Oryzias latipes: one gene and its partner. The protein of the gene in region 1 binds, or shares a complex with, the protein of each later gene. Links are inferred from orthologs where the notes say so. Each region holds a gene or a part of one and is shown in the gene's direction. Other genes may lie near its edges.

Evidence for each region.
Region 2: nhp2 (region 1) and gar1 share a complex: the UniProt entries of both Homo sapiens proteins name them as parts of the H/ACA small nucleolar ribonucleoprotein (H/ACA snoRNP) complex. The link is inferred for Oryzias latipes from reciprocal best matches to the Homo sapiens genes NHP2 and GAR1.

What each region holds. Positions count from the first base shown.
Region 1 is NC_019872.2:3,233,345-3,237,838, reverse strand, and holds the start of nhp2 (H/ACA ribonucleoprotein complex subunit 2), read left to right. Parts: upstream 1-1,503; 5' UTR 1,504-1,607; coding exon 1,608-1,761; intron 1,762-1,856; coding exon 1,857-1,926; intron 1,927-3,100; coding exon 3,101-3,206; intron 3,207-4,494. UniProt on the Homo sapiens protein: Required for ribosome biogenesis and telomere maintenance. Part of the H/ACA small nucleolar ribonucleoprotein (H/ACA snoRNP) complex, which catalyzes pseudouridylation of rRNA.
Region 2 is NC_019868.2:3,863,706-3,868,077, reverse strand, and holds the start of gar1 (H/ACA ribonucleoprotein complex subunit 1), read left to right. Parts: upstream 1-1,524; 5' UTR 1,525-1,612; intron 1,613-1,731; exon of another isoform or gene 1,732-1,748; intron 1,749-4,372. UniProt on the Homo sapiens protein: Required for ribosome biogenesis and telomere maintenance. Part of the H/ACA small nucleolar ribonucleoprotein (H/ACA snoRNP) complex, which catalyzes pseudouridylation of rRNA.

The sequences.
Region 1 (4,494 bases):
CGCACCGGGCGTCCACGGAGCTGCCGGTCGGTCCTGTTTGAGCTCCAAAGCCGTCTCTGGAGTGAAACATCCATCTTGCATGCCGTTAAACCAGAGCAGTAGTGACCCATGATCAGAATGAACCGTTTACATGCACCACGATCGGATCAACAATCGGCATAACCCACCTATCTTGATCAGAAAGAAATTTTGATCCAAACGAGTCTGATCGGGGCAGAGTATTCCGAACGGCGTGTTTACATGACGCATTTTTCTTCTGATCAGGTGTTCATTCCGATTACTTTTGTCCATGTAAACGCAGCCAATGACCTTAAAGCCCCGCCCCCAAGTAAAATTAGGCACTCTCAGTGAAAACTGAAAGCTAAGGAGGAAAGAAACAGAGGAAACAAACGTTGAAAATGCAAAACAAATAAATATTATTTTTCATTTGGTATCAGTTTAAGGTTTGAAGTTCTTGTTTAAACTTAGGGGTCAAGTTTTTTTAATTTTCATTATTTCTTTTGGCGTTTTCAATGTGTACTTTTGAGTTATTTTTTTTTTTACCTGATCCTAATTTCAATTCAATTCAATTTTATTTGTATAGCCCAAATTCACAACAACAGTCGTCTTGATGGGTTTCATATAATTTGACCCCATAGCGTGTGGCCCATCAATTTCAGTTTGTTTGACAATTGACTGTTAAATTTACAACTGGATAAATGGCGTGTGATATCATCCATAGAAAATGCCTTGCTTCTGGTTGCAACCAACTGAAGTCAATTCAGTCCCCATTTTTCTGCGATATGTCCTTCACCATGTGAGAAGCAGATGACCTCAGTAAGCCGTGATTGGCTTGTCTACATTTCTGTTGCAACCACTCTCTCCAATCAGGAGTGAGCCTGTTAGAAGGCCACACCCCTTTCCACTGAGAGCGGATAGGGAGGGTCTGTCAATCAAACGTTTCAAACTTCTGACGCTACTTTTATTAAGGCATCTGATTTGTCAGTTTATAACTTAGATAACTTTCACTACAGGAAAAATACCATGAGAAAAATCAGGATTAGCAATAAGATTTTAATAAAAGTTATCAGATCCAGAATGGTTATTCTGACCAATAGAATGACAGAGTAACAGCTGTTTATTTCTTAATAGAAGTCTATGGGGTTTTGCCTTCTTAGGACCAGCAGGTACTTCCTTTTTTGGTACACGGAGGGGGTGGGGGGGTGTTTTTCAGTCTAGTTCTTATTTTACTCTCAATGGTAACGACAAGCTTTTTTACACTGTAAGTTTGTCATCTACTCCTGATTCACAGCAATTTGAATAAAGAAATAACAGAAGAAACACACAAAAACACACATTTAATCTTAATTTTCTTTTTATATTTTCACTATCATGAGAAAAACACCACAAGAACTTAAACACAATTTCATTTTTGAAAGAAAGAAGCAAATTAAAGTCATTTGGAATGTAAACTTTGAAACGTCACGCTGCATTTCACCGCCCGGCCGCTAGCGGCGCTGTGATAAGCCGTAGTCTGAAAAAAGAAGCAGAGGAAGCTGAGCACGTGAGGTGTCCTCGTGTTAAGTTGTTGTTAGCAGACGTTCGGCTCAGAAAATCATCGATTGGAAATGACGAAGGTGAAGAAGGAGAAATTGGATGCGGAGGAGCCCGCCGGCGTCCCGGAGCGCTCCTATCACGAACTGATCGCGAACCTGAACCCGATCGCGCAGCCGCTGGCTTCCAGGAAGCTCAGCAAGAAGCTCTACAAGTGCGTGAAGAAAGGTACGAGTGCGGGACGTTTCCAGGTTGTGGATCAGTCCGGGTCCGACTGGGACCGGGTTGGACCAGGACAGTATTGAGCATTTTTGTGGTTTCAGCTGCCAGAGTGAAGAACATCCGCAGAGGAGTGAAGGAGGTGCAGAAGTTCATCAACAAGGGAGAGAAAGGGTGAGTTAGAACGAGCCGGAGCTGCTCAGGAGGAGGAGAAGCATGTTGGTGGATGAAGCTTCTCATAGGATCCTTTGTTTTTCTCTAGAATCCAGATAATTTCCGTTTGTCTCTGTGCTGCTCTTCATTTCTCATTTTATTGTCTGGAGCTACAGTTCTTTAGAACTTTAATGATGAGAAACTTTGCAAAACCTTTCAACCAAGTTCTTTTCTGTTTTAGTTGGGGTTTAGTCAAAGCGACTCAGTGATGTTGGCCAGTTCACAAATATGACTGCGCATGCGCGGGGTCAAAGGTCAAGGCCTCATTGGACGACAAACTTGGTGATGGTCTCTAACCCTAGCCATGATGAAACATATTCAAAGTTAAAATAACAGGACCATCTGCCCGGTCAGTTAACGAACTAAAGGCGCCCGACGATGCACCAGATGTGCTGCGACACAGGTGTGCTGCGACACAGGTGTGCTGCGACACAGGTGTGCTGCGACACAGGTGTGCTGCGACACAGGTGTGCTGCAGAGGCCTCATCCCCACAGCAGACGATGATAAAAAGGACGTATGCATGCGAAGCATTGGACATGATACAACTTGAGGACTGGATAACAGTTGTCTGGTTCAACATTAGGCCCACATGATGCAGTACTCAAACATTCCAGATCTATAATACTAGTAGAAGGCTTAAATATTCCATATGGACTATCTAAAGGCGTACGACATTCTTCTGTTTCTTTGACAGATCAGAATGCCACTTCTCTGCATTGACAGAAAACAATAACCCGATCCTCTTGTGATTGAAAAGGCTCTTGGGTTGGTGAGGAAGCAACTAAAACATGGCTGACAGAAATGTCAATATTGCTCACTCATGTCACTGAACGGTCTGTTCTTACTAGTATTTGCTGCTTTGGTTTTTTTGTTGCTATTTTTTCATTAGCTGACCCACCAACGGCAAACTGCATCTGCCGATGGACCTGTACTTTGTCTTTGGTTATGTATCGTAATGGCTGCGTTTTGGCTTAGCGGTCACCTTGTCTGCTGTCCATTGAGGTCTCGACCTTTGACCCCGCACATGCGCAGTCACCCGTGTGACTCAGTCTTTTGTGTTTAGTCTGAGGGGGCGTGACCAGAAGTGACTTCATTGCTTGCAAGCTGGTTTTCTGATTGGTCGTTGCTCTACAGGATCGTGGTTTTAGCTGGCGACACTCTGCCCATCGAGGTGTACTGCCACCTACCGGTCATGTGTGAGGACAGGAGCCTGCCGTACGCCTACATCCCCTCCAAAGTGGTGAGTCAGCAGCGCACCTATGCAGGTGTTCCTCTCTTTGAGGACTTCAAAAATAGCAGTAATGAAAGTGGATTTGCAGAGGCGATCCATGAAGGGATCTGCTGAAAGGTGAACCACCACCGACAGCAGTAAAGTTATAACTAAACCTCTGGTACGTTGTGTAAAAGTGAGGAAATATTTCAAATTTTATTTGCTTTCTTCAGAGAAACACATTTTTTCAAACGAGACCAGAACATTAAAGGTGGACATACATTCTGTGAAAGAAAGTTCTGGAAGTAAATACTGAGATGATCTCCACTCACAACCAAAAATCAAATAAATATAAATAGCTTCCAATATATTTATACACTAAACTAGAAATTCCTTACATCCAGTGAAGTATATTTGGGTTACAGTAGCAGCATTCTGGTATGGAGATGTCTTTGGTGGGTGGAGTTCTCAAAAACAAAGCGCTTGAATGTAAAAAGCACAATTTTACAGAATATGGCCTAAACTGTTTAAAATGGATATAAAGTGCCTCTATTGCAAGTTACAGGTACTTAACATTCTCAGCTGTTTCTAACTTTGCTGCTGCTGGGGTGTGTCAGAATTCCTTCACTACTCACTGCATAATGCGTCCACCTTTTTGTAGAGCTGTCTGAATCTACAATTACAAAATCCAGTGCCCTAGAAATTTACCAGAAGTCTCTGTGAAATACCAGTGTGCATCAAGGCTCACTATGTCGGTGAATATAGACCACAATGCATAGTATCAGAACAATTTTTGCCAAAAGAAAATGTATTTAAATGTATTTTTTTAATTAAACCATCAATGTTTTTATCTTCAGAACTCAGTGGACTCATAAATAATGGTGACAAAACGCTCATATGAATTAGATTTTAACTTTGTGAAATCAATTATGTCATATTCGCCATTTAAAATATTAAGCACTGAGCATTGTGTCTGAATTTTCTTTAAAATCCAGGGCACTAAATAGTTTTAGTAGTTAGGGGTTAGGGTGGGAGTTTGTCATCTTCCACTGACACAAGAGAAGGTGCTGTTCCCTCGACTCTCCTGCAGGAGGCAGTACAGTTCACCTCATAAAGGTGTGATGTCACCATCAGGTCTTTAGTTTTAGCTAACCTCAGTTATAATGAGAACTATTTCCAGAGAGTCCACAAAACTAGCAAATATGTTGTAAATAACCTGCAGTTAATCTACTTCTCCAATAGATTTTTGTTAACAAATAACTTTTTTTCTGAACTGGATCAGGATGTTTAGGGGCAAAAGCTGCGTGTTTATTCTGGG
Region 2 (4,372 bases), on another chromosome or scaffold:
GTTTTAACTGATAGTTGAAGCCAAACATAAGGCCTAAAAGGACGCCTCCCCTGGACCAGGACTTCATGGGTCTTTGGTGGGGGAACCTCCATCTCCTCCACAGTGAGGGATCTCCTGGGCTTCCAGGCAACAGCTGCCTTGCACCTCTGAAAGCACACCTGCTTCAGCTGTTTGTGCATGTGACTATCAACGACTGGTTACAAACACAATCACACACTCTTTCCTCTCTCTCTCTCACACACACACTCTCGGAAAACAAAAGCATTCCTCCCTGACCAGCTGTTGCCATAGTTACCCGCGCAGCAGAATTTTAAAAAGCCAACAAACACTTAAACATCTCCACTATTGGAGCAGCGTCTGTCTGGCGAAACTTTTGATGAAGTCAGAGTGGTCTGTCTCTTTAAGGACGGGGCAGGTCGGCTTATGACACAAAGAAGACAAGGGTTGCCAGATCGGTCATGTTTCCGCTTCTTTGGAACTCTTTGGGCTGGACACATCTGCAGTTGGCAAAATGAACAAATTCAGGCTGTTTTTCTCAAAACTGATGTTTTGTTTTAAATTTAAAAAAATGTTTTTCTAGAAATTATGCTTAAAGAGTTTTGTTGGTTAACCAGATGTCACTAGAAAGAGCTGTAGTAAATTACTTTAGAATTACTTTAAAATATTATTCACACATAAAAAAGTATTCATCCAAATAACTATCAATATTACAGAAACAATTAACACCTAAAACAAAAAAAAATTGAACATATTGAACTGGAGGTGTAAAATTATGGAATAAGGTAAAAAAAAATAACCACAAATTATTGTGCTGATTTACATTTACAGTCAACTAAAGGTCAAAAGGAACATGGGGTTGATTTCAGTCTTTAGCTATTGTGAGGCTTATTGTGAAAAAAATTACTGATATACAAGTTTGAAATCTTTGTTTTCACACATAGCCCACACAATATAACCAATATTATTCTACTTTAAAGATTAAACTGAGTTTAGTCCTACTTCACAAATGAAAAGAAGCAGTGACAGACCTTAAAGCAGTCAAACACCTGAAAATGACATGCTGAAGTCTGATCCAGATGCAAGTTGGATTTCTGGTCATGGTTGTGCAGTCAGAGGAAAATCGTAGTGTAACTCAGCAGCAGAGGTTTCCTATTGCATTTGCTAAGTTTCTTGTTAATATAATTTTTTAAGTGTTTTTAAATAACAAATGATGCAAATACCACAAAAAAAGTTATGAATACAGCTCAAGTTACTAGGAACCGCACGAACAATTGTGTAGAAAATACACACAGAAAATGCAAAAGATTAAAAAGAGACTGATAAAAACAACAAATCACTCAAAAGGAGACGACAACTAATAGTTTATTGATTTATATATTTTTATAAAATAAATCTATCTTGATTTTGTAAATTACCATTAAAAAGTCTTAGTTTAGCTTTTTTATGTGGGGGGAAGTTTAGTCCGGGTTGTGTTTGCCTTTACTGATTTTACTGCGTAGTTTTGTCGGGAAATGATCTGATCTGGCAACCTCCTGTGCGACATCAGAGACAACCTTTACGGCAGCCTGCGCTTGCGCGTGTTGTCACGTGGACATTTCCTCTGCGATAACAGGTAAGTTCTTGCCTTTACATCTTATTTTCTTGGGTAATAGTTTTCCACGTGTCATATTATTTATCAGCAGATGAGCGGGGTGTGTAAAGAACCCACTGGAAAGCGGTGGTTTCGCGCCTAAACGGTCGTGTTTACGGTGAGCTGCTCCGGGAAGCACGTGCTCTCGCTGATCCTTTCACCGAAGCCGGTTTTTTTAGCGCGTGAGGCACCGGGGGAGCCTCAGGGCGCGTTAAAGTTCCGGACACGGTTCCACGCGTGTTTCTGGTTACTGCAACCTGTCGTGTCGCTGTGTTTGCCAGCTAAACACTCGCACTATTTGCACAGCGGACACGGGACGGGACGGTCGCACGCGGCTGAAGACTGGATTCGTTGACGGGATCACTCCGCGGTTGTAAAGCGGCGGGCGGCTATCTGTGTGCTCTATTTTGTAAGACTGTAAGGAGTAAAACATTTGTTTGCATTCTTACTGTAACGACTCGGTTTCCGCCCACTGCCATAGCAATCAGCGGGCGAGGTGCATCATGGGAGCTCATGGTTTTGGTGCGTTTGTCAGTTCAGCTTTTGGTGTTTTCTTTGTTCATTGTGTTGTTGTTTTTTTCTTTAAAAAAGTATCAAATATACGCCATGTGGTCATTGGCATATACACAGAGTCCCGATATTCAATTCAACTGAGTGAGCATGCGCGTTGAGCCTCGTTTATTAAACTAAAAACAGAATTAAACTTTCTGAAATGTTATTGATCTTCTAGAAGGGAAATTATCTTTATCATAGTTTTGTTTAAAAAAAACAGATTATAATGGCGATGTCCTGCCGTATTTTTTGAGAATGAAGTGATATTTATGCCAACACATTGCAAACAAAACTTTTTAAGTAGCAAGTGAAGGTATTAAATAGTTGCTTAAATAGTTCTTAAATTTTTTTCTGCTTTCAAAAAAAAATTTTGCGTTTTAACACGTCTCATTTCGCTGTTTCCCTATCTTTGATTTAACGTTCATAAGTCTCAGTTTAGCGTGACATATGTGCCAACAAACAGCCTGCTGATTGGTCCAGATTCTAACCAGCCGCACAACTTTGTCTTCATAAATGCGTTTCTTTTTGACACATTCCTTACCCCATAGTATCAGTCTATGGGTGGATTCAGACTCCACACAGTTGGTTCTCTTAAAGTGAACCAGAAGTTCGTTTCCCCCGACAATCTGGAACAAATTTTCAGTCTGAATAAACCCAAGTGGGCCCTGGTGCGGGACCAGGAACCGCTTGGTTCCATCTGTGGAGGTGGTCTCTCAGTTCGTTTCCAATCGGACTGAGCTTTGGTGTACTCTAAGGTTCTTCAGTCTGAATACAGTCTGTTCCCAGAGTGGAACAACGGAACCAAAAATGGCCACCGTAGCCGCTCCGTATGGGATGTAAACGGAAAAGGAAGTAACCATGACGATGAGACACAGCAACTCATTGAAATGTGATTGGATAAATGCAGGCTCATTAAAACAACTTTTAATGTGACGCACGTTGCTTCTCACTGTTTTCCCGACCATCTGCATGTCATAAAGTCTTATCAGTGACTCTTGCCGTTAGCCGCCCTACAGCCAGCCTCCACTGGACCAATGGGATTGCAAAGTGCACTAGTCTTTGACTGCCCTCGTAATTCCTGGCCAATGACTGAAGAGATCTTTAGTCACACGTTTTTTTTTTTACAAGCTTTGGTTGGTTGGAAACAGAAATGTCCGGTTGAAGGCAGTCTGACTACAGACCCAATGCAACGCTCAGGACTCAATCTGGACCAAACTAAGCAGACTCAGTCCAGACCAACTGACACCCTTCATATTTTTCAACCCAGTTCCTTACAATTCCCTCTGTTTAGACAGTTGACTGTATATGAGAACTGGACTGAGTGACTCCTCTCCCGTAGAGTTCCAAACAGGAAGTTCCCGCTGTCTCCAAGAAGCCAAATTTCCATAGACTTCTACAGAGAAATGAGCAGCTGTAACTCACTTAGGGGTAGGGTTGTGCCGATGGACGATATCATCGTCCATCGTGATGGGTGACTGACATCCCGATGGAGAGACCACCATCGTGATGCCACGCCCCCGCCACGTTGCGCGTCGACACCATAAGCCGCGGTTACATGTACAAAATATCTTGATGGGATCAATGGTCGGATTAGAATCCAACCGTGTAGATGGGCCCAGAAAAATGTTTTCAGAATATAAAAACGTTCACTAAGGTCACACTTTCGGTCGGAATAAATCATTCGCACATGCGCAGTTTGAAAACCGGAAGGGGATACAACTTCCGCCGAGCGGCTTTTTTTTCCAAACTTTATTGAATGTAACAATTCAATACAAAACAATGTTAAACAGCGCCGAGCGGCTTTATACATTGACATGTCAGCTCAGTAATTTACGAGCCAATCTTCTAAACGTGCCTTTAATAATGTTACGGTTATTATGAAACACCTGTTCGCTCATCATTTGAATTTTAATCCGTGTGGTCAGTGCTTTTTCTGAACGAAGCCAGGATTAGCAGTATGCTAACACGGGCTAACAACATTAGCTTTGGGTGGTGCTGCTTGCTGGCTGCACGTAAACATGTAAGAATAACATCAGCCTTTATTTAGTCGGGACACGACTGGAAACACAAATCCGCGTGATTGTTTGAATGTTTTCTAAGGACTGAGCGACATTTCTGCTTTGAAGCTCAAACCGCTGTGTGTGCTGACGATCCGAGCTGTGCTCAGTCAGACATAGGGTTGGGCGATGT